4 linked regions of the Elephas maximus indicus genome follow. The protein of the gene in region 1 interacts with the protein of each later gene in a pairwise test. Links are inferred from orthologs where the notes say so. Each region holds a gene or a part of one and is shown in the gene's direction. Other genes may lie near its edges.

Evidence for each region.
Region 2: the proteins of NDEL1 (region 1) and CENPF interact in binary tests that used the Homo sapiens proteins (3 or more experiments, as listed by UniProt). The link is inferred for Elephas maximus indicus from reciprocal best matches to the Homo sapiens genes NDEL1 and CENPF.
Region 3: the proteins of NDEL1 (region 1) and MLLT10 interact in a two-hybrid assay, tested with the Homo sapiens proteins (2 studies listed by BioGRID and IntAct). The link is inferred for Elephas maximus indicus from reciprocal best matches to the Homo sapiens genes NDEL1 and MLLT10.
Region 4: the proteins of NDEL1 (region 1) and CEP170 interact in a two-hybrid assay, tested with the Homo sapiens proteins (2 studies listed by BioGRID and IntAct). The link is inferred for Elephas maximus indicus from reciprocal best matches to the Homo sapiens genes NDEL1 and CEP170.

What each region holds. Positions count from the first base shown.
Region 1 is NC_064837.1:12,341,216-12,348,828, reverse strand, and holds the start of NDEL1 (nuclear distribution protein nudE-like 1), read left to right. Parts: upstream 1-4,601; 5' UTR 4,602-4,705; intron 4,706-7,613. UniProt on the Homo sapiens protein: Required for organization of the cellular microtubule array and microtubule anchoring at the centrosome. May regulate microtubule organization at least in part by targeting the microtubule severing protein KATNA1 to the centrosome.
Region 2 is NC_064842.1:3,497,033-3,504,337, forward strand, and holds the start of CENPF (centromere protein F), read left to right. Parts: upstream 1-4,292; 5' UTR 4,293-4,400; exon of another isoform or gene 4,401-4,582; intron 4,583-4,587; exon of another isoform or gene 4,588-4,670; intron 4,671-7,305. UniProt on the Homo sapiens protein: Required for kinetochore function and chromosome segregation in mitosis. Required for kinetochore localization of dynein, LIS1, NDE1 and NDEL1.
Region 3 is NC_064822.1:34,533,303-34,541,219, reverse strand, and holds the start of MLLT10 (protein AF-10), read left to right. Parts: upstream 1-4,911; 5' UTR 4,912-5,010; intron 5,011-5,038; exon of another isoform or gene 5,039-5,255; intron 5,256-5,302; exon of another isoform or gene 5,303-5,380; intron 5,381-5,512; coding exon 5,513-5,672; intron 5,673-7,917. UniProt on the Homo sapiens protein: Probably involved in transcriptional regulation. In vitro or as fusion protein with KMT2A/MLL1 has transactivation activity. Binds to cruciform DNA.
Region 4 is NC_064842.1:20,966,726-20,974,277, forward strand, and holds the start of CEP170 (centrosomal protein of 170 kDa), read left to right. Parts: upstream 1-4,545; 5' UTR 4,546-4,963; intron 4,964-7,552. Other genes in the region: SDCCAG8 (serologically defined colon cancer antigen 8), read right to left, coding at 3,802-3,868.

The sequences.
Region 1 (7,613 bases):
CGCCTCAGTTGCACTGGGGTGGGGCCTGTGAGTCTGCAATTCTAGCAAGCTCCCTGGTGACACTCACATTCAGTGGCTTTAAAATTTAGAACATGCTGACCTTGCAAGGTCCTGTGCCCCATGTGAGGTGGGAGAGACGTAAACATGGCCTGTGCCCTCAAAGATTTTACAGCCTCCCAGAGTAAATGAAACCTCACGGAAATGTCTGCAACACAAGTTAGAGCGTGAGTCCTCTTACTGTGTGACTGGACAAGTTGCGTGACCTGTTTGGGCTTCAGCTTCCTCGTCTGTAAAATGGTTACAGCCTCTGCCTTGTAGGGTTGAGGATTAAAGCAGGATATTGTACTTAAATACTTGGTTTGGTACTTGGCACATAGTAAGCCTCAACGAGGCATGGGGTACACCAGGAGAAGCATGGAATTAGGTGGGCAGGCCGGTGGGATGTAATGGAATTAGGTGGGCAGGCTGGTGGGATGTAAGTCAAAGGGCATAAGATTGTGAGGCCGTTCTTAAGAAGATTTCATCTTAGCCTAAAAACCAAATCCATTGCTGTCTAGTTGATTCTGACTCATAGCGACCCTATACTACAGGACAGAGTGGAACTGCCCCATAGGCCTTCCAAAGCAATAATCTTTACAGAAACAGACTGCCACATCTTTCTCCTGTGGAGCCACTTGTGGATTCAAACTGCTGACCTTTCAGTTAGCAGTCAGGTGCTTAACCACTCTGCCACCAGGGCTCAGTTTCCATCTTGGCCAAACATCCAAAATGTATGTAAAACTGCTACAACTTAACAACAAAAAGACAAGCAACCCAATAAAAAAATGGGCAAAGAACTTGAACAGGCAGTTCACTAAAGAGGATATTCAAAAGATCAACCCCCACAAAAAACCCATTGCCGTCAAGTCAATTCCGACTCATAGTGACCCTACAGGACAGAGTAGAACTGCCCCGTAGGGTTTCCAAAGAGCACCTGGTGGATTCAAACTGCTGACCTTTTGGTTAGCAGCCGTAGCTCTTAACCACTATGCCACCAGGGTTTCTAAATGATCAACAAGCACATGAAAAGATGCTCGACATCATTAGCCACTAGGGAAATGCAAATCAAAACCATAATGGATTTCATCTCACCCTCATTAGAAAAAAAAAAAGGAAAACAAGAAGTGTTGACAAGGTTGTGGAGAAACTGGAACCCTCATCTATTGTTGGTGGGAATGTAAAATTGTGCAACCACTGTGAAAAAACAGTTTGGTGGTTCCTCAAAAAGCTGAGCGTAGAATTACCACGTAACCCAGCAATCCCAGTCCTAAGTATGTATCCAGAAGAAGTGAAGGCAGGAATGCAAACAAAAACCTGCACACCAGTGTTCATCGTAACACTTTTCGCAGTTACCAAAAGGTGGAAACAACAGAAAGGGACATCAACAGGTGAATGGATAAGCAAAATGTGATAGTATACGTACAAAGGACTATTACGCAGCCGTAAAGAGAGAGGAAGTTCTGACGTATGCCACAACATGGATGAACCTTTGAAAATGTTATCCTGAACCAAATAAGTCAGCTGCAAAAGGACAAATTGTACCTAATCTCATTTATATGAAATAAGCAGATATCTAGAAACCAAAGATTATTAATGGTTACTAAGGGGAAAGAGGGAGTTTTTGTTTTGGGGGCTGTTATGGGTTGAGTTGTGTCCCTCAAAATATATGCTGTAAATTCTAATCCGTATGCTTGTGGCAAAGAATATTGAATATACCATGGACTGCCAAAAGAGTGAACATATCTGTCCTGGAAGAAGTACAATCAGAACGCTCCTTAGAAGCAAGGATCTCACATACTTTGGACATGTTATCAGGAGGGAACAGTCCCTGCAGAAGGGCATCATGCTTGGTAACGTAGTGGGTCAGCGAAATAGAGGAAGACCTCCAATGAGATGGATTGACACAGTGGTTGCGATAATGGACTCAAGCATAACAACGATTGTGAAGATAACACAGGACCAGGCAGTGTTTTGTTCTGTTGTACACAGGGTCGCTATGAGTCCAAACTGACTGGACAGCAACTAACAACAACAACATACTTGTGGATATAGTTCCATTTGGGAATGAGTTTTCTTTGTTATGTTAAGGAGAAAGTATTAGTATAGGATGTGTCTTAATTCAATGTCCTGAGATATGAAAGAGCAGATTGAGCAAGCAACTAGGCAGGCAAGCACAGATGGAGGAAGACAGACGCCATGCCATATGAGATCTCCAAGAAGCAAAGAAAGAGAAACTGAAAAATGACAAGGATCTTTCCACTGAGCCGACACAGAGGGAAAGCCTTCCCCTGGAGCTGGTGACCTGAACTTGGACTGCTAGCTTCCTTAACTGCGAGAAAGCAGATTTCTGTTTAAAGTCATCCACTTGGGGTGTTTCTGTTGTAGCAGTGCTAGATAACTAAGACAGGGGGCAATGAATTTATGTTAATGATGGTGGAATGTTTTGGATGAGGATAGCGATAACGGTGGCAGAACATGAAAAATGTAATCAGTGTCACCGAGTTGCAAATGTGGAAGTTGTTGTTTTGGTGGACATTTTGGGGTGTATGTTTTCACCACAATTTTTAAAAAAAAAAAGAGAGAGAGAGAGAAGAGGGTGCCATCCTAGCTATCAGAATGTCCATAGTCTAAGAAGAGGGTCAGGAAGGTGAGGACAGAGAACCAGGAGGATAGGTCTCCTATCAGCAGGTGGCTAACCTCAGGGCTGCTTTCAAGGGAGATGTAAGGATGCTATGGAGTCCCTGGGTGGTGCAAATAGGTAATGCACTGGGCTGCTAACCAAAAGTTTGGAGGTTTGAGCCCATCCAGAAATACCTCAGAAGAAAGACTGGACAATCTTCTTCCTAAAAATCTGCCATTGAAAACCTTATGGAGTACAGTTCTCCTTGGGGACACATGGGGTTGCCATGAGTAGGAATCTACTCAAGGGAAACTGGGTAAGGATGCTGCAGGCTCAGCAAGCTTCCTTCTAGAGATGTGTGGGATGGGTGGGAGCAGGACTTCCAGGCAGATAGAGCTGTGGCTTTTAGCACACTCCCGCATTCCACATCCCTGTGGGTATTAGGGAATTTTCAGAGCAGCTGAGAACAACTAAGGGTTCTCTGGCCCTGGCACTGCCCTCATGCAAAGCATTTGCACAGCGTGCAAAACATCAGCCCCACGGCTGTGGCTTCCGCAGCTGAGTTTACCTGCGTGCTTTGTTTCCTTACTATCTCTGAAGTCCACGGATATTTATGGACTAACTTCCGGTGCTCTGCTGGAGGCTCCTGGGGACACAGAGGGAAACCTGTGCAGTCCCTACCCTCACAGAGTGATCTTGGGGAGAAAAAAACATCATCATGGCAAAGTAATGATTAATGAAGGACCTCGGTAGCAGCTCTTAACAATGGTGCTTCTTCTCTAAAGCTAAACCCACTGCCATTGAGTCAATTCTGACTCACAGAGACACTATAGGACAGAGCAGAACTGCTCCATAGGGTTTCCAAGGCTGTAAATCTTTGCAGAAACAGACTGCCACATCTTTCTCCTATGGACCTGGTGGTGGGTTCAAACCGAAGACCTTTTGGTTAGGAACCGAGTGCTTTAATCACTATGCTACCAGGATGAGACTCATTAACAGATGAAACCTACAGTTTTTGGAGAGGTGAGAAGTGTTAGGTGACTTCAGGCTAAAGTTTTCTGATCTGGTAAAGACTTAAAAGTGGGTCGAATTTGGAAAGGCAGGGGACAACCACTAACAGCTAAAAGGGACTAATTGGATCTGTACCAAGCCAATTACACACATTTTCTCATTTAAGTCCTACAACAATGCTAAGAGGTATCATCTGGTATTATCTCCATTTTATAGACGGGGAAAATGAGACTCAGGGATGACAAGCAGCTTGCTCTTGGTCTCACAACTAAAAGCGGCAGGTCAAGTCTATCTGACTTGAAGTTCATGCTGTTATGTACCACATCATGTACTATGCCTAGTTCTGAGCTGGGCCCCCTTGGGGATAAAAACAAGGGTGATGTCTGCTTATCAATTACCCTCAATAAGCTTTTTTTCTTCCCCTTGCCTGCACCCTCCAAATACAGGGACAGAAGCAGGAAAGTGGGGGTGGGATGGGGAGAGGACAGAACATTTGTCTAGAAGAGCAGTGGGCTACATGCCTGCAGTGGAAACAGGGGACCTTGAAGGCCTGGCTAAGAAGTTCACACACACACCAGTTGCCATTGAGTCAATCTGAACTCATGGCGACCCCATATGTGTCAGAGTAGAGATACCTCCACAGAGTTATCAACAGCTGATTTTTTGGGAATAGATTCATGCGCCTCTGGGGGGACTTGAACCTCCAACCTTTCTGTTAGCAGCTGAGTGTGTTAACCGTTTGCACCACCCAAGGACACCGGCTAAGGAGTTAGGGCTTTTTTTTTTTTCCTCCCCAAACACTGAAGACTTGCTCAACCTCAGCTGAGCAATAAGTCTGACAGGGTTGCCTCGCTTCTAGATGGCAGGGTGGCCCCAGTCTTCCTGGTCGTAACCCACTTCCTGTTCTTGCGCCTCTTTTGTCAGATGGTGATCTTCACCCTTCCTGTTGACTGCTACTTTGTTTTATCTGGTCCAGGGTGGGCCCCTGTGTGCTGCCGTCGATGCAATCAGCGGACACCTGGGACACAGAACCAGGTACACTGGGATGATGGGGAGTGGGAGGTCTCATTGGAGAAGTTCTGGGCCAGGTGAAGGCCAGCCTAAGAGACACCAGGGAAGGAGGCTCCTGGTGGTCTGAGGACCCCCTCTGCTTTTGTGGGGGTGGGATGGTCGAAGGCTGAGGTTAGTTTTTGCCCTGCGATGTTAGTTATGTCCTCGTGGGGGTGAAACAAGGGGTTTGCTTTGGTGGCATTCTGAAACCACCTGGTCTGCCCACATCTCCCAAAGATTCGGATCCCCTTGCTTTGGTTTTCTGTTTCCTGGACCGGCCAGGTAGTGCTTTTCTGGATTGCAGAGGGAGCTCCGTGTGTTGAGACAGGTTTATCTGGTGCTGACTGGACACCTTCAGTGTGACGCACTGAAATAGAACTGAGCTGACCACATTAGGGGCTTCTCCACTGAGCCTGGTTTCTCCTCTACAAAATGGCAAAATGTCCCTATTTTCTGTGATACCGAAGTGGGGCAATGATTGTGAAAGTGTTTCATGAACTTTAGGATTGTATTCTTCAGGGTTTGGGGTTACTTTTATTTTCTAAATGGAACTAGGTGTATTTTTTCCTGGTAATATATGACAGCTGGAAAAAATCAAACAATGCAGAGAAAATGAAAATCGTCACATAATCCCATCCCCAGAGATTGCTGCTATTAATACATTGGTGCATAGACTTCTACACTTTTAGAACTAGTTTTTTTTTTTTTTATGTCTAAGTTTACTTACTGTCCTGAAACCTTTTTCCACTTAATAATATCTCTTGAATATCATCTCATGTTAATTCATGGGCATTTACCTTGTCCTTCTTAACAGCTGTGTTTTGTTCCATTGTGTGGCTGTACCATGGATTATTAAATCAGTCTGCTATCTATTGATGGGTATTTAATCATTTCAACTTGTTGCTATAATAATAAACAATGCTGTAGTGAATTGTTAGTTGTCGTCAAGTCTGCACTGACTCACGGAGACATTACAAGTAACAGAATGAAATGCTGCCCGGTCCCGCGCCATCTTTACGAATGTTGGTATGATTGTTACGGGTATTGTGTCAATCCATCTGACTGAGGGTTTTCTGTTTTCACTGACCATCTGCTTTACTTTATATCTTTGCACTAGTTCCATTATTTCCTTAGAATAAATTCTTAGAACTTGAATTGCTGGATGAAAGGTTATATGTTCATTTATAGTTTTGATTCATTTGTCTGGATTCCCCTAGGAAAAGTCATACTATTTTATTATTTAAAATTTAGTATCTACTTTTATTAAAGCAACACAAAGCTTTCAATGAAAAATAGCTATTCCTTGCCCTATCTCCCCTCTTCAACGTTCTCCCTACCAGAGAGAAACACTTTCAATTCTTACAGTTACTTCTATTTCCAGGTGAGTTGCCTATATGGCTATTTTTTTATTTTAGTCATTATCTTTCATTAATAATTTATTGACTTCTTATTATGAAACCTATGAATGTAGCACTCTTACTCCACCCTATCTCCACATTATTGCTTCTCTATCCTTCTAATATATTTATATCACAAATTTTGGTTAAATCGATATTCACATTTACATTATGTATGTTGTTATGACTATGTAAAAGTTATCTTCTGAGTTATATAGTATATTATTATTGTTTCCTTTCTTTGACAACTCTTTGTTTTCCCTGGAGTTGATAATTGCCTCAGTTTTTCATTTGCTTAGTCTTTACATATGTATATATCACTGATGGCTCTCAATATGATCAGATCTATCAGTTTCTATATTTTTTCCTTTTTTAAAAAATTCCTTACAGACACCTTCCTGAAGCCTCATGCTATTGCTCTAATCTGAATTGGTTGTTCTCTAGGCCTACTGCATAGTGTTGTCCTGGGAAATCCCTTAGCATCGTCCTAGAATCTTCTGCGCTCTGCATCCTACATTTTCCTCTTCATTTACTACCTCATTTTGGTGTCACACATCTTCCAATACATAGGAGGTAATTTTTTTCAGATTCTGACTGAAAAAAATGCCTTTATTCTATTAAGAGTCTAGCTAAGGTTTAGAATACTGAGTTGGAAATAAATTTTCTCTCAGAATTTTAAAGGCAATGCTCCATTGTCTTTAAGCTTCTAGTCTATTTTTGAGAAGTCTGTTCTGATTCCTAATCCTTCATATGTGGCCTGGATTTTATCTCAATGGTGGTTTTTAGGATTTTCTCTTCATTTCTGGGGCTCTGGAATTTTATCAGGGCGTACTTTGCGTGTGTGTTTTGTCATTCATTGTGCTGGACACTTGGGAGACCTTTTCAATATAGATACTCATGTCATTCAATTCTGGGAAAAGTTCTTGGTTATTAGTATTTAAAAAATAATTTCTTCCCCTTTATTGTCTCTGTTCTGTTTTTCTGGAACTCCTGTCATTTGACTGTGGGACTTTTGGGCTTACCCTCTCATTTTTCTTATTGTGCTTTAGGTGAAAGTTTACAACTCCAGTTAATTTCTCATACAAAAATTTATATGTGTATTGCTATGTGACATCAGTTGCAATCCCTATAATGTGACAGCATGCTCCCCCTTTCCATCCTGGGTTTCTTGTGTCTATTCAACGAGTTCCTGTCCCTTCCTGCCTTCTCATCCTGCCTCTGGACAGGACCTGCTTATTTGGTCTCATGTATCTGCTTGAACTAAGAAACAAACTCTTCACAAGTATTATTTTATGTTTTAATTTCTCTCAGAATTTTAAAAGCAATGCTCCATTGTCTTTGTGAGTTTCTAGTTTATTTTTGAGAAGTCTATTCTGATTCCTAATCCTTTGTATATGGCCTGGTTTTATCTCTATGGAAGTTTTTAGGATTTTCTCTTTACCTCTGGGGTTCTGGAGTTTCTCCAGGATGTGCTTTCTGGACTGGGACAGGGGTAA
Region 2 (7,305 bases), on another chromosome or scaffold:
CTACATGTGGTTGGATGGAAACCTACCTCCTCCCCCTCAAAAAACTGAGAAGCACTGGAGAAACCCTGAGAGTATGACCCTTGGATACCCTTTTAACTCAGCACTGAAGTCACTCCTGAGGTTCATCCTTCAGCCAAAGATCAGACAGGCCCATAAGACAAAACAAGACTAAATGGGCACACCAGCTCAGGGGCAAGGATGAGAAGGCAGGAGGGCACAAGAAAGCTGATAATGGGAACCCAAGGTCGAGAGGGGGAGAGTGTTGACATGTCATGGGGTTTGTAACCAATGTCACAAAACAATATGTGTATTAATTGTTTAATGAGAAACTAATTTGCTCTGTAAACCTTCATCTAAAGTACAAAAAAAACAAACTGAGGAAAAATAGAGGCAGAAGGGAACCATAAAATTCAAAAGACACAAAAATAGCACAGAAGTTACTAGAATAGTTTTCCATTACATGATTTCCTTGTTTAAGAATTGAGTGTATAAGGACTTATACTTTCTGATTTCAAAACATACTATCAAGTTACAGTAATCAAAACAGTCCAGTACTGGTGTAATGATAGACATATAGACCAATGGAAGAAAATTGAGAGTCCAGAAATAAGCCCACACATCTATGGCCAATCGGTTTTCAACAAGGGTGCCAAGTCCATTCAATGGACAAAGAATAGTCTTTTCAATAAATGGTATTGGCACAACTAGGTTCCCACATGCAAAAGAATGAAGGTGGACCCATATACCCCATACCATATACGAAGATTAACTCAAAATGGATCAAGGACCTAAATTTAAGAACTTTAGCCATAACTTAGAGCAAACACAGGGTCAGTGCTTCAGGACCTAGTTTTTGACTCTGGATTCTAACATATATGCTGGCAGTGCAAGCAACAAGCGGTGGGATAGACAATTGGACTTTATCAAAATTAAAAGCTTTTCTGCATCACAGGACTTTATTAACAAAGCAAAGACATAACCTACAAACTGAGAGAAAATATTGGGGAAGCATATAAAGGCCTAATTTCCAGAATATGTAAAGACCACCTACAACTTATCAACAAAAAGATAAATGACTCAATCAAAAAACAGGCAAATGTCTTGAACAGACATTTCACCCAAGAAGATATACAAATGGCCAACAAGAAGATAAAGAAGTACTGAACATCGTTAGCCGTTTGTTACTGTTGTTAGGTGCTGCCATTGAGTCACTTCCGACTCATAGTGATCCCATATTACAGAAGCAGATTGCCAGGTCTTTCTCCCGAGGAGCTGCTGTGGGTGGGCAGGAGGACGGTGGCTCAAACCTGGCAACTTTTTGGTTAGCAGCCACCAGGGGCTCCTTTCGTTACTCATTAAACTCTTTGCTGCTGAGTCTATTCCGACTCATAGGGACCCTATAGGACACAGTAGAACTGCCCCATAGTGTTTTCAAGGAGCAGATGGTGGATTCAAACTGCTGACCTTTTGGTTAGCAACCAAACTCTTAGCCACTGTGCCACCAGGGCTCCTTTAGTCATTAGGGAAATCCAAATCAAAACCACAATGAGATACCACAGAATAGCTATGATCAGAAAAACAGAAAACAACAAGTGTTGATGAAGATGTGGAGAAATTGGAACCCTCATCCATTGCTGGTAAAATTGTAAAATGGTACAACTATTGTGGATTGAGCCCATCAGCTGCTCCACAGGAGAAGGATGTGGCAGTCTGCTTCAGTAAAGAGGATAGCCGTGGAGGCTCTCTGGGGCAGTTCTACTCTGTTCTATACAGTCACTGTAAGTCAGAATTGACTCGATGGCAACAGGTTTGGTTTTTGATTTTTTATTGTAGAAAACAGTTTGGCAGTTCCTCAAAAACATAAGCATGGAATTATTTTATGTTCCATCAATTCCACTCCTAGATAAGTACCCCAAAGAACTGAGAGCAAGACTGCAAACAGGTTCCTATACCTCTATGTTCATTGCAGCCCTATTTACAATAGCCAAAAGGTAGAAACAACCTAAATTTCCATCTACAGATGAATGGATAAACAAAACGACGGCACTGAGTTTCAGTTTTTATTAAGAGAAATGAAGTCCTGCTATGACATGGATGAACCATGGAAACTTTATACTCAGTGAAATAAGTAGGTCACAAAAGGATAAATATCATATGATTCCATTTATATGAAATATCTGGAATTGGTAATAGTCAGGAAAGATGTGTGTCAGGGTTGTGCCTTTTCACCATACTTATTCAATATGTATGCTAAGCAAATAATAAGAGAAGCTGGGGCGCTCCTTGGAAACTCTGTGGGGCAGTACTACTCTGTCCTATAGGGTCACTATGAGTCGGAATCGACTCGACGGCACTGGGTTTTTGTTTTGGACTATATGAGGAAGAATGGGGCATCAGGATTGGACGAAGACTCATTAACAACCTGCGTTATGCAGATGACACAACCTTGCTTGCTGAAAGTGAAGAGGACTTGAAGCGCTTACTAATGAAGATCAAAGACCACAGCCTTCAGTATGGATTACACCTCAACATACAGAAAACAAAAATCCTCACAACTGGACCAATGAGCAACATCATGATAAACGGAGAATGGATTGAAATTGTCGAGGATTTTACTTGGATCCACAATCAACACCCATGGAAGCAGAGGTCAAGAAATCAAAAGACACATTGCATTGGGCAAATTGGCTGCAAAAGACCTCTTTAAAGGCTGAAAAACAAAGATGTCACCTTGAAGACTAAGGTGCGATTGTGTTTTCAATTGCCTCATATTCATGCAAAAGATAGACAACGAATAAGGAAATCGATGAATTGACGCCTTTGAATTGTAGTGTTGGCAAAGAATATTGAATATACCGTGAATGGACAAAGAACGAACAAATCTGTCTTGGAAGAAGTATGACCAGAATGCTCCTTAGAAGCAAGGATGGCGAGGCTGTGTCTCACATGTTTTGGACGTGTTATCAGGAGGGATCAGTCCGTGGAGGAGGACATCATGCTTGATAAAGTAGAGGGGCAGCAAAAAAGAGGAAGACTCTCAATGAGATGGAATGACACAGTGGCTGCAACGATGGGCTCAAGCATAACAACAATTGTGAGGATGGCTCAGGACCAGTAGTGTTTTGTTCTGTTGTACATGGGGTCGCTATCAGTCAGAGCCGACTTGACAACACCCAACAACAACAAAATGGCTGGTGGGGACAGAGTTTTATGAGGAAAGTGACATTGGAATTGGATACTGAATGGGGAGCAGCGTTTGTGAGAGGAGGGGACAGGTAAGAGCAGTCTAGGCTTCAGGAACATTCTAAGGAAAGGCAAGGAGGGTTGTGGAAAGCTTGGAACTTATTCAGAGACAGCTGCAAATGGTCAGAAATGTATTAATTCAACAATTCACTGCTTTATTTCTGCCTTCACAAGCTTATTTATAGTTGAATATTTATAGTTGAATAGGGAAATAAAGTATATAAAATGCAGAAAACATTGGTGGGCTTCCTGAAAAGGAGGGCTTATATCCAGTTTTGAAGATTCTTCTGGCTGCAAGGCATCAATCTTTGGTAGCAAGTATTCACAATCTCCTTTCCAGAATGGGATCGAGAGAGGGCAGCAGCTAGACCCTTGCATGTCCGGACTCAAATTCCATTTACTTAGCTTCTGTGTGTCTCAGTCACCGCAAAGGACCGCTAAGGATACAGTGGATGAAGAACGCATAGCAAACACAGCACCTGGTATCTACGTCCCAAGTTCAACATTTAATAAACTGATAAGCAGGTGCAGTGTCAAGTTTTCACCAGAACGCACACGCCCCGCTGGCTCTAAGACAGACCACGCCCTATTCATCAGCCGGCCCTTTCCCTGCCTTCTGCCAGAAGAAACCCAAACACACAGCGTAGACCCGCTCCGGCGCACAGCGACCCCGCAGGACAGAGCAGGACCGCCCCATAGGGTCCCAAGGCGGGAATCTTAGGGAAGCCGACCCCCACGTCGCTCTCCCCAGAGCGGCTGGTGGGCTTGAACCTCCCGCTTCTCAGCCGAGCGCTTCAGCCGCCGCGCCACCGGCCGATCGGCGTCCGGCCTCTTCCGCAGCACGTGGGCCCCGCCCTCCCGCAACAAAACCAGGAGGTGCCCCACTTCGGCGCTGGCGCAGGCGTCTCCGGGAGCGACGGCTTGATTTTAAAATCCATTCAAAAGGGCCAATCAGAAGCGGCGTTCCGAATCCGGGGAAGCAGATTGGCCCGACGATACGTACAAGTGACCAATAGGCTCGGAGGTGGGCGTGACCGGGCCGGAAGCGGACGAATGGAGACCGAGCGGCGGCGGCAGCGGCGGCGGCGGCGGGCGGTTTGAATCGGGAGCTGAGAGCTGGGCTCCGACCGCGGGCGCCGCGCCGGGTTCTCGGACAGGTGTGGTTCCCAGCGAGGTGGGCGTCCGCCTGCGCCGCGCCAGGCTCTCGGACAGGTGTGGTTCCGGTTCCCAGCGAGGTGGGCGTCCGCCTGGGCCGCGCCGGGCTCTCGGACAGGTGTGGTTCCAGTTCCCAGCGAGGTGGGCGTCCGCCTGGGCCGTGCCGGACCGCACTCTCGGACAGGTGTGGTTCCGGTTCCCAGCGAGGTGGGGAGCGCCGGTTGGCCGTGCACTGGGCGGCGGGGCTCCAGGGCGTCGACCCCTTGCTCCAGGTAAAGCTGGCGCTTTGTCCCGCTCACCTGCCTGCGCTGCAGCTGCTCCAAGCGGCCATCCAAGTCCGGCAGCCAGCGGCTCCTCTTTGAAATCCGGCCCTGGCCTTTTGTTGTATTCTGGGGATGCAAGTTTGGGTTTTGATCTGGACGGCGGGGTGGTGAGCCTATTTTTAGTGCATTTTAAGCATTTTTCTCTTCCTTCTCTTTCCCTCCTTTCCACATTTATTTGGACGTGCCTGTGTGTCAGGCTTTACCGTGTGTGAAACCCACCCAAGTCATAGCCACCCTACGCGACAGAGTAGAGCTGCCCCATAGGGTTTTTAGGGCTGTAAATCTTTATGGAAGCCGACTGCCACATCTTCCTCCCCGGGAGCTGCTGGGGAGGTTCCACCGCCGAGTCTTTTTTTTTTTTTTTTTTGGACCAGCCGAGCGCTTTAATCACTGTGCCACCAGGGCTCCTACCATGCGCTAAGGACCCAGAAATAAATGCCGTAGGTCCTACCCTTTTTTTTTTTTCCTGGTCTAAAGGACACTTTGAGGCCCAGCTCAGGTGCTGCAGACACTGACTTGGGTTTCTTGGTGGACAGAGCGAGGATTCTGATAGAAAGAAAGCTGAAAAACACATTGCCCTGCAGGCCTGGGTGGGTCCCACAGGCACTTTCTGAACCTCTTGGGGCTTAAAGGGGTTGGGTGATTCCGGCCTGAAGAGTCCCTCCACTATTCAAGGTATAAAGGTGCAGTGTTTTCTAGAGGACGAGCCTGCAAAATCAGCCTCCCAGGGACCTTAACACACAGGGCTTTCTTCAGCCCACTGTCCCTTACATCCTACAGTCAGGTTCACGGTTTGCTTTTTTCCTTTTGCCCCCAGTGGCCTGATGTAGAAGGTTGATGGCTGACGCTGAATGTGTCCGTGGCTCTGATCACAGTGGGTTGGGGTCTGGTGATTGCTTTAACCATTTTTTTATGGCTGTATCTTTTTTTTTATCTTAGACTTTGAAATAGGAAAGCATTCAAGCTGCCACTCTTCTTCTGTTTCCCTCACGTCTGTCGTCTTTCTGGATTCCTCCTTTTAATCTAGAGCTTGATTTAGTAAAACACAGACAAAAAAAAAAAAAAAAATGAATCCTCACCTGTTGCCAAAGATAACTGGAAGTTGAATGACTTTACTTTCACTTAAGTTCTAAAGGCCATACTCCTACCAGATGATTTAAATTTCCTATGAGTCGGAATTGACTTGACGGCAGTGGGTTTGGATTTTGCTTTGGTAAGATGTGGCTGAGAAAGAGATAGGGCACTTGGCTCTGTACTATAGAATGACAGATAAAAATAATGTCTTCAGGGCTAACACAATAACTAGTATATAGAGAGGGCTTAGCAGGTGGCACCGTTCTGAGGGTTTAATAGATTTTTACTTACTTCATCCTTACAGTCACCCTGGGAAGTCATCACTAAACCAGAAAACCAAACCTGTTGATGTTGAGTCTATTCTGACTCATAGGGACCCTACAGGACAGAGTATAACTGCCGCATAGGGTTTCCAAGGAGTGGCTGGTGAATTTGAACTGCTGACATTTTGGTTAACAGCCTGAGCTCTTAACCACTGTGCCACCAGGACCCTGTTTGCCATTCTTATTATCCCCATTTTACAAATGTGGAAACAGCACAGAGCAGTTAAATAATTTGCCCAAGGTCATACATCTTGCGAGTGCTGAGCTGGGATTTGAATCCAGGTTTGAGTCATTCGGGCTGCACACCTGTTTGTTCTGCCAAGGCCTGTCGGCAGCCTGGCTTTACTGCCTTTTGCAGCGATTCTGGTACTAGTGTGGCTTTCACTCTGTTCGTTTATTCACTCATGCATTCATTCAACAGATTATAACTGTAAAAGAGAAAAGGGTACCTGTGCTGTGAGAGACTGACTACAGACAGGGGGGACCAGGTCAGATCTCAGGGACGGCTTCCCAGAGGAAGATGACTAGAACTGAGGGACTAAGCATGAGTGGGAATTAACCATGTGAGGAAGGGAAAAACATCTGTGAAATAACTTATGTGTTTTGTTTATTTAGAGCCCCTAACTCATCTGAAACTTATAGCATGAACTTATAGCAAAGTGTTCATGTTTTGTGTAACGGCTGAGCTGTACAAGTCAGGTAACCATATAACAAGTTAAAACTGAGAAGTAAGAAAACTGGGAAACTAAAACTGCTCCTGAAGCCAACTTGTCAGACAAAGATTAGATGGACTATAAAACATAAAATGATACTGGTCAGGTGTGAGCTTCTTAGCTCAAGTACACACATGAGACTATGTGCGCGGCTCTTGTCTGGAGGCGAGACGAGAAGGCAGAGGGCGACAGGAGCTGGTTAAGGACACTGGAAATACAGGGTTGAGAGAAGGAGCATGCTGTCATAGGGACAAAAACTAGGGTCACATAATAGCGTGTGTTTAAGTTTTTGTATGAGAAACTGACTTGAATTGTAAACTTTAAAGCACATACACACACAGGAAAAGAAAACCAAAAAAAAAAAAAAAAAAAAACCCAAAAAAATTTGGGATGCAAGGGAGGCCAACCAGACATATTATGTCCTTTATGATCAAGGTTATTGGTTTCAGGGGATGGAGAAGGGCACTATTATAC
Region 3 (7,917 bases), on another chromosome or scaffold:
CTAAGTGCCACAGTGAAGTAAAACTGACAAAAAATGATCTGGAGCTTGTGTGTTTAATTCGTCAGGAATGTTAAGCTTCATAAGATTCACCCTATGGGGTCATGTTGGTCCTTGGTATTGTTACTGTACAATTTCAAGGGGTAAATATACACATTATAAATTTTTAAAATCTCAGATGTACTAGACAGTTTATTAATGGAAGGAATTAAAAAACTGAATTTGTCAGTCTCATTCTGGGACACAATGCAGTTAATTAACATATTCTTGGGCTTGTTTCTGGATTTGCTAAGCAGTGGCCCCTTTCAGAAAGGAAAATATTTAAATTTAAAAAAATGACCTTTTTTGGTCAAAGTAGTCTTTAGCAACTACTTTAATTCCTTTTTTCCCCCCCTTAGTCCAAGATATGTTTCATTTCTTTCATGGTTCTCTTCCATTTCAAAACTTGATTTTCCTCTTTTCCATATCCAGAATCTTTTCCCTTAGATAGCCTTATTGTATCGATAAAGACACAGAAATATATCACTTTAATCACACTTTAAGAGAAATGCAAATCTTAAGTGTCAGTAGAAAACTGGGAACCTGGACTTCACAATCCCACTCTTCCATTATATGGATGGTTTCCTGAAAAGTCAAAGTGTAACACCTTTAAGTATTGTTACATCATGGAAAAAAAATAGCCCAACTCTGGAATGTTCCTGGGATTTATGTAACACCCAAAAGATCTGAAGGCAGCTTTTATATATTATTTTTCTATTGGTAATTACATGGTGTTTTACCCAAAAATGTAAATACAACCAAAAGATATCAATTTAATTGCAAAAGGAATGGCTCCGAAGACAAACACAAGATTAACCAAACCAAACCTCTAAAGTAAATATTAGGCCTTTATTCTTAAAAAGATTTATTTAGATTATATACAATTTAAATTTTAGAATTACCTAACTAAACTTTCCAAAAATTAACTGTATCTAACAATATTAATTATGATTGATTGTAAGTTACAGTCTGTTCTGTAATAAAATTATTACTTTTGCATGAAAGGTGGTTAACATTTGAGGACTATTTAAATACAGACAATTCTAAACTACCTGGTAAACAAAAAGTCTTTACATATATTAACTTCAACTACTGAAAATCTTTAAATTTATCTGAAAATTTGTTAATCATTACTTAGAAAATTTAATTCAATTATACATGCAAAGTAAAGTTTTGCTTTATTCTGAAGAATAAAGCTCAAACTGCAATTAGCTTGTAAACACTACTACTGCACATTAAATAAACATTTATTGAGGGCCTACTATGTGCAAGACACTTGCTAAGGGTTATGGTAAGTAAAAAAATCACCCAGTAAGGTTAACTCTGCATGAAATGAAAATTTCTAAAAACTATTAATAGTATCTCGATTTAAAACAAAATTAAAAACAAATACCTTTTTAGAAAATTTGTAATGTAGTACTCCATGATATAGGTGCCATGCGTGTGTTTGTATCTATAAAGATACAGTACTCATTTATGGTGAGATAAATAACAAAACTAGATGCAGAAATAGCTCAGTATTTTAATCATAGTAACTTAAATACATGGCTTATGATAAACTTTTCAGGTAAAAGATAAGAACCCTTGGCCACCAGATAAACAAATTTTTAACTAGAGATTCCTTTATGTAAAAGATGACAGATATGAAAGTTTGTACAGATCATAAAGAACGTGCCTTTTTGAGTTTTCCAATTAATTTATTTAGAAACAAGATTATTGTTTCAATAAGATTTAGTGGACACATTGATCCTAATAATTGCTTTTTGTTTAAAAAACTTAGGATCAGAGGCAAAATAGAATTTTAAACACTTTGTAGAAGTCAAGAAACTGAGTGAAGGAAAGTGTATCTGTTCTTTGCATTATACAAATTTACCTCAACAATGGGTATAACAGACTAAATATAATATGCATAAACAAAAGGGAAAGAAAACATTAAAAAAAGAAGATAAATATGAACAATACTAACTTATGAACCAAATGTAGTTGTAAGTATTTCTTTTAGGGTATCTACTTACGTAAATGATTATGAAAAAGCAAATACAAGTATTTGGTGCCTAGGTTAAGGAAAAAAGAAAATTATTAAAAGACATATTGCTTATAGTTTCCCACTAAGAGTTAGAGGTTACATCGTAAAATACTTGAGTTTTTTGTGATTTCCCTCAGAGAAATAGATGAGCTAGTACTGAGTTAGCTGCTGTTATGTGAAGAATATTAGATACAATGGACTTTTATTTTGTTCTACAGGTACTAGATGTACTTTTTAGAAGGATATTTTGAGATTGTGGAATCAGATTTAAAGGGAACATTATTTTATAAGATTGAAACAGTCTTTTTTTATGAAGTTACATGACAAATTCCATGGTAATTTCTTTTTACCTTATTATATATTTTAAAAAGGAATGTAAACTCTTAACAATTCTGGAAATTCAATAATAAGTTTTATCCATTTTGAGGTCTGAGAATTAGTATGTTACAGAAAAAATTGACCAATTGTGCGTGTACACATACACATGCATACATTTGTATATGCATATATACACATGTATAAATATAAGTTGCTTTCTTACAAATATAAGTTGCTCACTGCTTTTCCTGCATCCAAAACACACCCCAGCACACAGTAAATGGTCAATAAATATTTATCGAATGAATATATAAATAACAGATATCTGAACTATTTTATGTGTTATTGTCCGTTTTCACTGTATTTATAGAAATACACTAAATATTATACTTCTGTTACATAACTTAAAAGAAAAAGCTAAAATGAAAATGACTTATTTATACCTATTGTTTTTTCGTATAATTTTCATAACATATTTCAACATGTTAAAATCCATTTAAAATAATGAAAAATTTGACTATTGTTATCAACATTTATACGTACATCTTTAACCAAATTCCTGCCTGATTCCATTATTTATATACAGACTTGATATGAAATAGGATATTTTCTTTTTTTAACTTCAAAACTCTTACAGGTTGTGATTTTTCTAAAATAAGCGTTACAGAATAGGGTAAAGTACCCACCCTTCCTTACGTATAAATCAATTCCATCATAAGAACTAAGTTCTAATACATGAAAAATAAAACAAATGTATTTTTTAAATAATCTAGTGCATTAAGGCTTAACCAGAGTTTTTGGAAAGGAAAGTTTCACATTGATTTTAATTCAAAATTATTCTACCTTAGGAGTCTGAGCAGGAATTGGATGTTGAACTGGTTGGTAGTCTTTATATAAGCATAAAGATAAAATACACAGTTAAGATACACAAAACAGTATAGTTTTGCTTGAAGACAATTTTTAGTTTTGTCAAGTATCAATTACATCTTAAAAACATAATTATATGTTCACAAATTTATTAATTGTTGCCATCTCCTAAAGAAAGAATCTACATTTTATAAGTATAAACCTTTTTCTAAATGCGCTAATACAGCTAGAAGACTCATTTTTGTGTCTCTTTAATGTATATTGTCATCTTATGCTTTAGATTTCCATTATTGTAGATCTCTCATTTAGCTTTTAATACATTTGAATATATTTGCTTATATATACTTGCATTGTATTATATCTGTTATAATTCTTAAATAGATTTCTAGCAAATTATTTGGAATAGAAAAAAACAGCCATGCACCCATTTTTTAATCTTTATGAGAATATTTGGAATGTTTTTAAAAGCTTAAACCAATATATTATCTTTTGGTTACTGACTAGAACTTGGGTTCCTTCCTCCATCATCGTCATATAACTGCATTTTCCAAATCATCATGTTATATATTGCTAATTCCTGATAAACTTTCATTTTTATCTGCAAAATATTAACCAGAGCCATGGAGTCACCTTGTAATCATGCTGGTCATTTAAACAATCTACCCATACATTCCTATTTCATGCTAAACTTTTATAACTAGACACTGTTTTTGATTAAAATCAATATTGGGCTTACATGGATACATATGGGATTGGGGGAGGGGGAAGAAGATCTTACAACAGCTTGCTTAGTAGCCAGGTGTGCTAGTTAATGTATTCAGATAGGCCTAATCCATTTTGTATCTGAGGGACCTCTTTTTCTACTTCCTGCCACTAAATGACCTCAAATTTTCAACAGTAAATTTGGAGAACATAGCCAGATCTGAGAAATCCTCAATCAAAACTGACTCCAGCATCTCATGGTGTTTACATTTTCGTGACTGCCTAGGATAAATTGGATTCCTTCATCTTTTAGCGTCGCATAAGTGCATTTTCCAGATCTTCATATTATGGATTCCACGGCAACTGGTGGTTTTGTTTTTTTTTTTTAAATTCCTGATAAACAACTCTGTGTACTCCTACACACCAAGCTCAGGGTAGTCTTGATGTTATTAGTCCTCTCCCGGTATAACCCTAACACAGGCTTTTGACCTTCAGTCTGTGATGCACTTTCATTTGTCACTGGAGCCAATGTGGTGTGTAAATGGGCAGTGGATTTGGTGGCACTTACATTTGGTGAACTTTGGGTAGAGTCCAGGATGTGAATTTAATGGGTGGAGAGGCTGCGGCAGTACTGGGAAGTTAGCATGGCCAACTGCAGGAAGCCATGCTTCATTACACCGCTCATGGAAGGCTGGCATTCATGCCCAACCCGTTACTCACGGGCCAGTTCTTGAGGAATATGCCGTGAGGTAGGTTCCTGGTGCAGGAGGTTGGTCCCCCTCGCCCTCTTGAGAGTGCCCTTCAGCTACTCTAACAAAACCCACAACCGGCCCCTAGCATCATCCTTCCCCCTTCCCTTCCATCTAAAGCCTCTCCGCGGCGTGCACACGCAGCCCGCGCGACCGGCGCTGCAGGAGGCGGCCCCAACGTCCCCGCCCCCGCGTGCGCGTCCCCGTTGGCCCGTTCAGGCCTCGGCGTGCTGCTGGCTCCACTCGCTCCCACCCTCTGCAGCACACCTCCGCCGCTGGGACCGGCGCGGGGGAGGGAGAGGGGCCCGGGAGGTAGGCTGGAGCTGCAGGCCGGACGCGGCGGCGCGCACGCAGGCCCCGCCTCTCCTCGGCCTCCTTCCTCACGCCCGCCTCAGGGCTGGCGCGCACGCCGAGTGACGCTCGGAGGAGGAAGCGCAGCCCTGTTTCCCCTCCCTCGCTGCCCCGGGCCCAGCGGGAGCCCCCCCAGTGCGCCTGTGCGGAGGCCTACTTGATTATGTGTGCCCTCTCCAGGCTTCAGCGTTAGCGGCCGGGTGGAGGTGGGGAGGGAAGAAGACGAGGAGGAGGAGGCGGTGGAGGCGGTGGAGGGGAGGTGGGGGGAGTCAGCAAGGACATGGCTCCTGACTCCTGTGCGGAACGTGAGTGACTGAGCGGCAAAGCCCGAGTGAGCGAGCGGCCGAGCGGCGGGCGGGGGCCGGGACGCTGGGGAGGGAGCGGGGCCCTGGGTGGCTGTGCGGGGGGAAGCACTAATTGGTTTGCATGTGTTTTTTAATGGTCCTCCCCAACTCCCTCTTAGATGGTCTCTAGCGACCGGCCCGTGTCATTGGAGGACGAGGTCTCCCATAGTATGAAGGAGATGATTGGAGGCTGTTGCGTTTGCTCAGACGAGAGAGGCTGGGCCGAGAACCCGCTGGTTTATTGCGACGGGCACGGCTGCAGCGTCGCGGTGCATCAAGGTAAACACCCAACCGCCCGCCGGGCCGAACCCGGCCTGCTCCCAACCGTCACCGCTTCCCCCACCTTGGCATCAACTGCCGGTTCCCCTTCCGCCCCTCCCCCCACCCCACCCCCGCCTTATTCTGCGGTCCAGGATTTACTCGGAGGGTCTGCAAAGGGGTAGAGGGGGTGTGGGCTGTGCATGTGGGAGAAAGTGCGTGTGGCCTGGACTGTCATGTGATTCTGCTCTCACTCTCTCAAGTGTCATTTGGCCGCCGCCTGCGCCCGGAGCCGTGGGTCTGGAGACTTTCCGAGGCGGTGGTTGGAGGAGGGGGCGGTACGGGGCTGCGCCCTGCGCCCTGGGCTAGTGAAGGGGGGCGCTGAGCGTGCGCCCCTCCCTCCTGTCACCATGGTTGTGGGTTTGGGTTTGGGAACGTTGAGACCCCTCCCCCTTCACTGCCTTCTCCTGTTTGCCGCAGTGTGTCTGGAGACTTCCTGTGGTATGGAGACTGGCTCCGGAACGCGACTCCCTGCGATGGGGAGGGTGAGGGGAGAAGGGGGATTGCCTTGCCCCCTTAGTGAGGGAAGGCGGTTACTGCTGCACCCCAAGCTTTCTGGCGGAGGCACTGCTGCTGTGGACTGGGAGCTCCTGCGGAGAAGACGGCGAGAGGCCGCCACCCCCCACTCCTGCTGATGCTGGAGAGTCTTGGCTGAGCTGCCCTGGGCTGGTGGATAAGGCTGTTTTAAGTGGTTGCATCAGGCCTCTTCTTCGGTTTCTGTTACTGAAGACAAGAGGAGGTGGTGGTGTCACCAGTGACTTGGGAAACATCTTAGTTTATTTTTGGGTGTTTCCATTTGGTGAGTTTTTTGGATATTCAGAAAACCCGAGGAAACTAGTAGGATATTTTTTGGTCATTGAAGTTGTCACTGAAACAAGCTAGGTAATTTTTTGGTGGCTCTTAACCCTCTCCATGTTTATTCAGCATCCTGTGCCTTTTCCTATTTCTGAATCTGGCGTTGAGTGATGCACATGTTGTTTAGTAGTGTGTTGGAAAAGACTCCCAAATGAGGGGAAGGAAAATCTGAACGTAAGGTGCTAAAGTGCATTCTTAATAGAATGGAATGTGGGAACTGTGAAGGAGACTTACATGCAGTGGTGATGATTCTGAGACGGTGAATAAACGTCAGAATGCAGTTATTACCAGTTTCTTAAGGACAAGCAAAGTTGCACACTCTTTTTTAAGATGGCGTGTCAAACCTAGGTATTTTAAGGTCTTAGGGCTGATGCATAGTATTTCTATTAACAGTCTTCATTGGCACGTGTTTATGGGGTTATTTCTTACAAATTGGATGATAAATTAATCAAGTTTTGATGAGTAATTTCATCTCTCAATATAGAAAATGTTCATTTAAATCTTAAATTTTCCTTTCTAGAATTGTTTCCAAGATAAGATTTAACCATTTTTTGTAGGTAAGAAGAGAGAAGCAAAATTAGACTCTTGAGAGCAAAGTTTTTGAACACTACTGCTGTGTTTCTTGTCTTATAGAACACTTTTAACCTTGACATATTTACAGATGTTTTAAAGGGATTAGAAAATTAGCTTTTGGAGTTTTAGAAATTTCTGTCGATTTTATATTTTTTGTATTTAAGTTCCAACATTTGTTTTCAAATTTCTGTTGAGCAGGCTCATGTGAGAACTTTGGTTGGGTGTTAGTGTTTTTGGAAATATTTCCATTTTTCACTAATTATATATTACTATTAAACAAATTGTTAAGACCAGGCTGTCATTTAGGTACAGGATATATATTGAGATGAATTGTTGGGTCCATCACGTTATATACTTAGCAGTAGACATACATTTCACTTTTTTAAATAATAGCTTTATTGAGATATAATTCACATACCATACAATTTACTCGTTTAAGTGTACAGTTCAGTGATTTTTTAGTATATTCACAGCGTTGTGCAGCCATCACCACAATCTATTTTAGAACATTTTCATCACTTTAACAAGAAGTCTCATACCCATTAGCAGTCACTCCGCATATCACCCCAGCTTCTGCAGCCCTGGACAACCACTATGGATTTGTGTATTCCAGACTTTCCATATAAGTGGAAGCATTTCACTTTTAACTTTACATTTTGTTTTCTGCAGTATCAGTTGCTTTTTTGAAAGATGCTTTTGAAATATTTTCATTAATTTAACTATAAAATATAGGAATGACTGAATGAATTTCTAAGTTATTCCATGCAAAATATCTGTT
Region 4 (7,552 bases), on another chromosome or scaffold:
GCAGCTCTTCCCCAGTCATCTTCTGAGTACCTTCCAACCTGGGGGGCTCATCTTCCAGCACTATATCAGATAATGTTCCGCTGCTATTCATAAGGTTTTCACTGGCTAATGCTTTTCTGAAGTAGACTGCGGGGTCCTTCTTCCTAGCTCCCACGTGCCTGTCAGTTTGTTGTACTGTGGGGGCTAGCGTGTTGCTGCGATGCTCGAAGCTATGCCACCAGTATTCAGATAGCAGCAGGGTCATCCATGGAACACAGGTTTCAGCTGAGCTTCCAGACTAAGGCAGACTCTTCCTAGCTAGTCCAATATATTCCTACACTCAAGTTTACAGAACTTAAAACCAGATCCTGGATTGCCTGTTATTCTTGCTTTTCTGACCCCTTCTTGGCCCCAAAGTAGTTTATTTTAAACCTCATAGCTTTATATAATGGTGCATTGAATTTAAATTAGAGGAGGGGCATTTGTTATCCTTCCCAGTTACTAATATAGTTCTCAGCCACTCTGTGTACCTTGAATTATAACTACTTATAATTGAAGATAAGAGTGAACGACACCTAAATATACTGCCAGGAGACCTCCCAAATCACTTCCAACTCTAGATTAACACCTGGGATATGCCCACTTTTTTTCTTTTTAAATCACACTGGAAACTTTGAGATAACTTATTATGTCGGTACAATATTACAGAACTGTGAGGTAACTAAGTTTTTCTGCTAGAATTCTCATATCAAAGAAGAATCACTGAACCTCTCCAATTTCTTGCTGAGAGGCCACAAACAACTCAAACCAGGAGCTATTCTCTGAGGGGTCAAACAAGGACTGCATTTAAAAGTTTAAAGGAAAGGATGAGAGGTGAAAATGGCATCTGCAGATGGGCATGCTGCTTCCATGGTTGTTCCAGGACAGTCAGAATCAAGGAGAGGAAAAATTCCACTTAAGTTTTGAAAGCAAAAAAGTAAACTTTGACTCTGCTTTTCACGTCAGAGCTTTAAAATCTTAAAATACTATAATAGTACAAAAAATTATATTTAAAGTAATTAAGAAAATCTATAAAAATGGAAGAACTATCATGGAAAACTGCGAAAGCATTTAGCATTTTTACTTCCTAATCAAAAAATGGAAATCAAACCCATTGCCATCGCGTCCATTCTGACTCATAGTGACCCTAAAGGACAGAGCAGGACTGCCCCACAGGGTTTCCAAGGAGAGGCTGGTGCATTTGAAGTGCTGACTTCCTGGTTAGCAGCCAAGCTCTTACCACTGAGGCACCCAGGGGTCCCTTTTATTTCCTAGCTGAACATAAATGAAGGAGTATCAGTAATGTTGACATGTACAGTTATTTAATAAAAGAGAAATAATTGTCACGGAAGACCAAGAATATTTATTAGCCTTCCTTTGAGCATGAACTAGGCAAGGCATTTTGGGAAAACAGTGGTGAATATACAAAACCAAATAAATCAACAAAAGCAATACAAGACAAACGAATTTCGAGCCGCAATTTATCTGATTGCATACTAACATAATTCTTAAATTATTAGGCACACTCAAAATAATGAAGTGCCACATATAAAATAACTCTAACATACTTTATATGGGAATACAAATTTCTGTCTTAAAGGGCATTATCTTTTCATGGTTCGAACCCACCCAGGGGCACTGCAGAAGAAAGGCCTGGTGACCTGCTTCTATAATGGTTACAGCCAAGAAAGGCCTATGGAACAGCTCTGCTCTGCCATGTGGGGTTACTATGAGTAGGAACAGGCTCAAAGGCAATGAGTAACTCTTTAAATGAGTGGTACGTTTAGAGTCAGTTATGTTTTCTTTCCTTACAGAAGCTGTGCTATAAACAAATAAAAATTAAAAAATGCTACTAAATAAATAATAAAATAAATCCTAAAAACCCACAATAAATTCAGGTCCCGTTTATTGATACACTGTTAAAAGTAGGATTTAAACACTGTTTTACTATATTCTTTGCCTTCTGGCTATATGTTTTCAGTATTTTGTTATCACATTAAATGAAATGACTTTAAATTTTGTTACATTCAAAAGAAAATTATTTACTCTTTGATTACTGAAAGCAGTACCACTGTAGCATATTACTGCAACATTAATTTACAATTAACTCTTTTACTGTATCAAAATGTCTAATATTAAACAGTTTCCAATGCTTGGATAAAGGCTCAAAATTACGTCAAAAGCATTAGGAGAAACTTTTATGGAGGCCAAAAAATGTTACCAACCTCAAAAACTAAGCAGAACCATTCATTCAGCGCAGTACTTTTCTTGCTTTCAAACGAAAAGTTTTAAGTGATCATATAAATATCTAACAATGCTTGAAACATCATTAGACTGATTCTTTTACTCCTCTAGGTTGAATATTGAGAATGTCGACAGGTTGTAACATTGTTGACAGCTGTAAACAATAAATAACCTTTATAAAGTCTAGAGTTACTAGAAGATAAACTTTGTAATCTCCTAGAAAAATCTTCACTTTGTTGCAGGACCAAGTATAAATAGCAGCTAACATTTAATGATTGTTTCTTAAGTGCCAAGCACTGATTCTTACCCTTATTTTCTATTATAATAATCTGTAATTATTTTATCATCTTTATCTCCCACTATTCCAGAGACTCCATTGGGGAAGGGACCTTGCTTGTTCCTTACTGTGTCCCCAGCACCTAGCATGTGTAAACACAGTAGGCAGTGAACATTTACCAAACGAGTCAATGTTCTAAATAGTTTAAATAATTTTTTTTCTCCAACTGTGGGTTATGCAAATGAAACATAATGGAAAATAGCGTCTATTACACGTAATAGAATAAGTTTTCTTTAGCGATATTTGTTATATTTGCCCCATGTGTACGTCCCACGTAAAATGTAGTTCTTACCCTGGGGTACCATGGAAAAACAAGTAGGAAAATTTCTGCTTTACATGGATTATTTTGTTTGCTCCTCACATTTAACCCTGTAGACAATACATCAACCTCTACTTTAAAAAAACAAAACTGAGCTTTCTAGGGTTATATAAGTTGTCCAAGATGGCAGAGCCATCTACTACAAATATGACCATCACTTCCATAGATACTCACTTATGGGAAACTGTACTAAAATAATCTGAATTAAATGAATAAGGTTGCAGTAACAGTGATTGTGACATGATTAAAACAAACAAACAAAAGGACAGGCTTTGAAGGAAGACAGGACTGAATTCAATCTCTGGCTTTGCCAGTAACCAGCCGTGTGGCCTTTAGCGTGTAATTAAACCTCTCTGAGCCTCGATTTTCCCATGTGTAAAATAGGAATAATCATAAAGTTACTGTAAGTTTTAAATGAGCTAATGTATGTAAATAGCCTAGACCACTAAATAGAAGCTATTTCGATTAAAACCATTATTATTGTTTTTCCCCCATCCAATAAATCACTTTCATCTTACTAAATCAGAATTTGAATGTGTAAAAAGTGTGAATCAGAAACTAATTGGATTAAAGAGCCAAGTATGAGAACTGGGCAAAAGTGACATAGAGCTGTCCACAAGTTTCTGCTGGCACTGGTTGAGAAAGATGCCTAAATCAGGATCAGAGAGTTGGTTCGGGTGGAATCAAGGGAAGCAACGCCGCTCAACCGTCAAACAAACTCATACGATTTCATCCTTCCTTAAAGATTAGAGCAACGCCCATCTCCTTCCTATACAGCCAGGCTGGGGCTTAACCAAGGTGTCAGGAAACGCATCTGGTCAGTTCCCGTCCACGAGGCCCTGGGTACCAAGGGGCTGGGGCACAGAGGTTCGGAGCAACTCACCCCGGAGGCTCCGTTGATATTGCCCTAGAATCTCCTCTACGGCAGAGTTCCCTGGGGACTTCGCCATGCCCGGACCCGGGGCCCAAGATGGGAGTTAAGTGGGACGTGTCCAGAGGGCTCCGCTCAGAGAACAGGCCTACCGCCTGGGGAGGGCCCGCCTGCTTCCTGCAGCTGCTGTCACTGGGGAGCTTGGAACCCGGGACGGAGCTCGTGGGGGCTCTTCCCACCCACTGGCCCTAATGGTGGACGTCGGGAGTGGTAGTCCACAGGCTCAGGACCTCCAGCCTCGAGATACTAAGCCCTTCCAACTACACTACAATTCCCAGAGAACACCGCGCTCCAGGAGCAACTTCGGCGGTTCGGTTGCCAGAGCCGGTTGCCAAGAAACAGCTTGGAGGCCCCGCCCTTTTCCTATAGCTCGGCCTTCATGCCATCCTTCTGTCTGGACCACCTAACTGACGGAAAGATTTCACGGTCGGCCTTGGGAGTCTTCGAAATGTTCTAATACGCGGCTGACCTCTAAGGCTTCTGAAGGACTCAAATGACAAGCTCTGAATCTTTTCATCCTTGAAATTTGTCACAAAGGCCAAATCAATTCTCAAGAAAAAGAAGCTCTATATCTCCGAACAGCCTAGACAGTCTAGCTTGTGAAGGCGGCCGACACTACAAATCCTAGCTTGCCCGGCGACCCGACCTCCCGTTGGCGTTAGCGCACTGCTCGCTGGGAACTGTAGTCCTTGTTGGTTGCGGTTCCGCGAATGCCTGGGTCGTGTTCATTGTTCGAGATGTTCTTGGGACACGCCTGCGCAGTGGGCAGCTGAAATAGCGTGTGGGTGAGACCCTCCGCACAGCCCCTTTTCATTGTCTGTCTTGGCGCCTGCGCAGTAAGGGATTGTTGGGACAGGGCAGGAGGAGGGGATAGGGCTCGGCTCCTCGCCCTTTCCCAAGGCGCCTGCGCACTAGCCGGTCGCTCTTTGCCGTTACCGCTATGTGTGGGGCGTGTGTGGAATAACGTTATTGCCCAGCGGAGCTGAGGGGCCCGGAGCTCGACAGCAGCGACAGCGACAACGACGACGGGGTGGGAGGAGGACGGCGTGCGAAAGACTCACGGGACGCGACGCGCCCCGCCTCCACCGTCCGGTCCCTCTCGCCACAGTCAGGGGTAAGTGATGCGCTCGGCTGCTCTGGCTCGGCGCTGCTGATGTCGCCGCCGCCGCCGCTTTTCCACCTCCTCTTCCTGGGAGAGCCTCGGGTTTGCGGCATGGGCTCGGGGTGCGGGGCCGGGAGGCGAAGGGGGCGCTTCCCGGATGCTCCGCGCGGCGCCGCCACCCCGCCCCGCGCCCGCCTCAGGGGCTCGGCGGGGCCGCCCCTCCCATCCCCCGCCCCGGGTCCCCCGCCCCTCCCATCCCCCACCCCGGGTCCCCCACCCCGGGTCCGCCACCCCGGGTCCCCCGCACCGGTCCCCCTGTCGTGCCGCCAGCCCGGCCTTCTCCGGGCCACTGCCTCTCTTCCCCTAAACGTCTAGAGTCGTTTCCAGCGCCCCCGCCGGCTTTGTGCGGTGCACCCCCGACCCCCGACCCCCACCCCCACCCCCGTAGCAGCAGCGGTTTGTGGAGGGTGCGGACGCAGGGCCCGAGGGAATGGCTGCGCTGGCGCGGGGAGGGGGTTTTTCCCAGATCCGCAGCCCTGCTGGGGCAGCGGACAGAGCCGGTCCTTTTCGTGTGGTCGGTTTTGGGGTGTGGGACGGTTGGGGGAGGTCGAGCGAGGAGCCCTTTTGGACGCAGTTGGAGGGCGTGGAAGACGTGGTGTCACGCACCCCGCCTGGCGATGTCAACCGCGTAGGCTCCAGCTCCATAGTAAACCCGGGGGAGGAGAGAGTGGCTTCCTGTCGGTTTCATTGTCCTGAAATCCAAGTGTAGGGTTTGGTATGGTCCCCTTCGTTTTATGCAAGGGGAAAAAAATAAATAAATATCTGCCTAACACAGGGCGGGAAGAAGTGTAGTCTAGGTCGTAGAATCTGCTTTGGGTGTTTAGTTGAGTTTTATTTGAAGAATGTAAGGTCCTGAATAGCAGGGACTGTGCCTGCTGCTGGAGCCCAAACGCTGCCAAGGTGATCAATATGAAATTACTAGATGAAGAGCGGGCTACGAAGGGACTGACAATGCAGCTGTTTGTAGCAGGGAAATGAACCAGCAGAATTGTTTTTTCATTGGGTGGGTAACGTATTCGTATTCCTAAGAGAATAGATTTGGACACATCTTTCCGTTACATTTTTTTAAGAACTCAAAACAAAGCCAAACAAACAAAAAAAGAGGCCTGGTATATTTCCTCTTTCTGAAGTCGTTTGTTAACATTTTTCATTCTCTTAATGAAATTTCGCCCATTTGGGAGGAATTATAGTGAAGCAGATAATATGTGATTGGGAAAAAATCTTTTAAGATGATTTGATCGTTAAGCTTACAACGTTTGCGGGCGTTTCTACTTAAGATTAGCAGAAGAGAGAATGAAGCAGGGTGGGGAGGAGCAGATGGAGGAAAAATGTAAGATTGTGGGAGAGAGTTACATTCTGAATACGGTATCTAGATCTTCACTGATAGAACCCAAGTTACAGGCATGCTTCAAAGATTTCAGAGTTCAGCTCTGGAAATATTATATTGGTGAATGGCAGGTTACAAGAATTTTGTTTTTTCTGCCATTATTTTATGTTCCCCAGGGCTGCTGCTTGTTCTTTCCAACTTTGTAGATACTGTAGAATTTTGGTATTTTAAAACAGAAGAGTCTGAGTGCACTTGACAGAAAAAAAAGAAAAAAACCCCACTGCTGTGGAATGGATTCCCACTCGTAAGGACCCTGTAGGACAGAGTAGAAGTGCCCCATAGGATTTCCAAGCCTGTAAATCTTTACGGAAGCAGACTGCCACATATTTCTCCCACAGTGTAGCTGGTGGGTTTCAATGGCCAACCTCTAGTTTAGCAGCTTAGTGCTTCGCCACTGCATCACCAGGGTTCCTTCACTTGACTGAGGGAAACACTAAAAGTCTGAAAGTTAACTGACTTGTCTCCAAGCCAAACTGCTAATGGAAGGCAGAGCCGGATAAAACCACGATCTGTTCTGCAGAGTGCTGTTTCCTGTGTGCCTTGTCTTCTAACCCTAGTACTCCTACGCTGTGAAGATTTATGGATACCTTCTCTACATGCTTTTTCGACTGTTTCTTAAGAATCAAGTTCATTGGTATTCCAGTTGTATTAATCTAGTCCTTTTTCCTTGTGATGAAAGTAGCAATTCTGCTGAAATGGAACTTAGTTTTTTAAAGTAACTTATTGGTATAAGGAAAGATGCCTTAACATCGGTTTTTCATAAAGACAGAGACTGTTGGAATTAGCGACCATGTTTTAATATATTTCTTGGTATTCAATAGCATTTTATAGTATGATCAGTTCTGCAAACTGTGTTAAAACTAAAACTGTCACATAAGAAAAACCTATTAAGTTCATTTTTCTTTGATTAATGGATTATAATATTTTTAACTTAAGTTAGAAGTTACCTACTGTGAAAAAATTCATGTTGGACTGTTTTTCAAAATTTTAAGCTTTTTTATTGAGTTGATTTTGCCATTAATCCTTTTATGTTGCCTCATAATTTTTATCCTTTAATTCCCACATTGGATTTTTATAAACATATTTTCTTTAGAATTTAGTAATACTTCATTTAAATTTCGACTTAGTTTTAAAAAAGTAGTCTGTAATTAAAT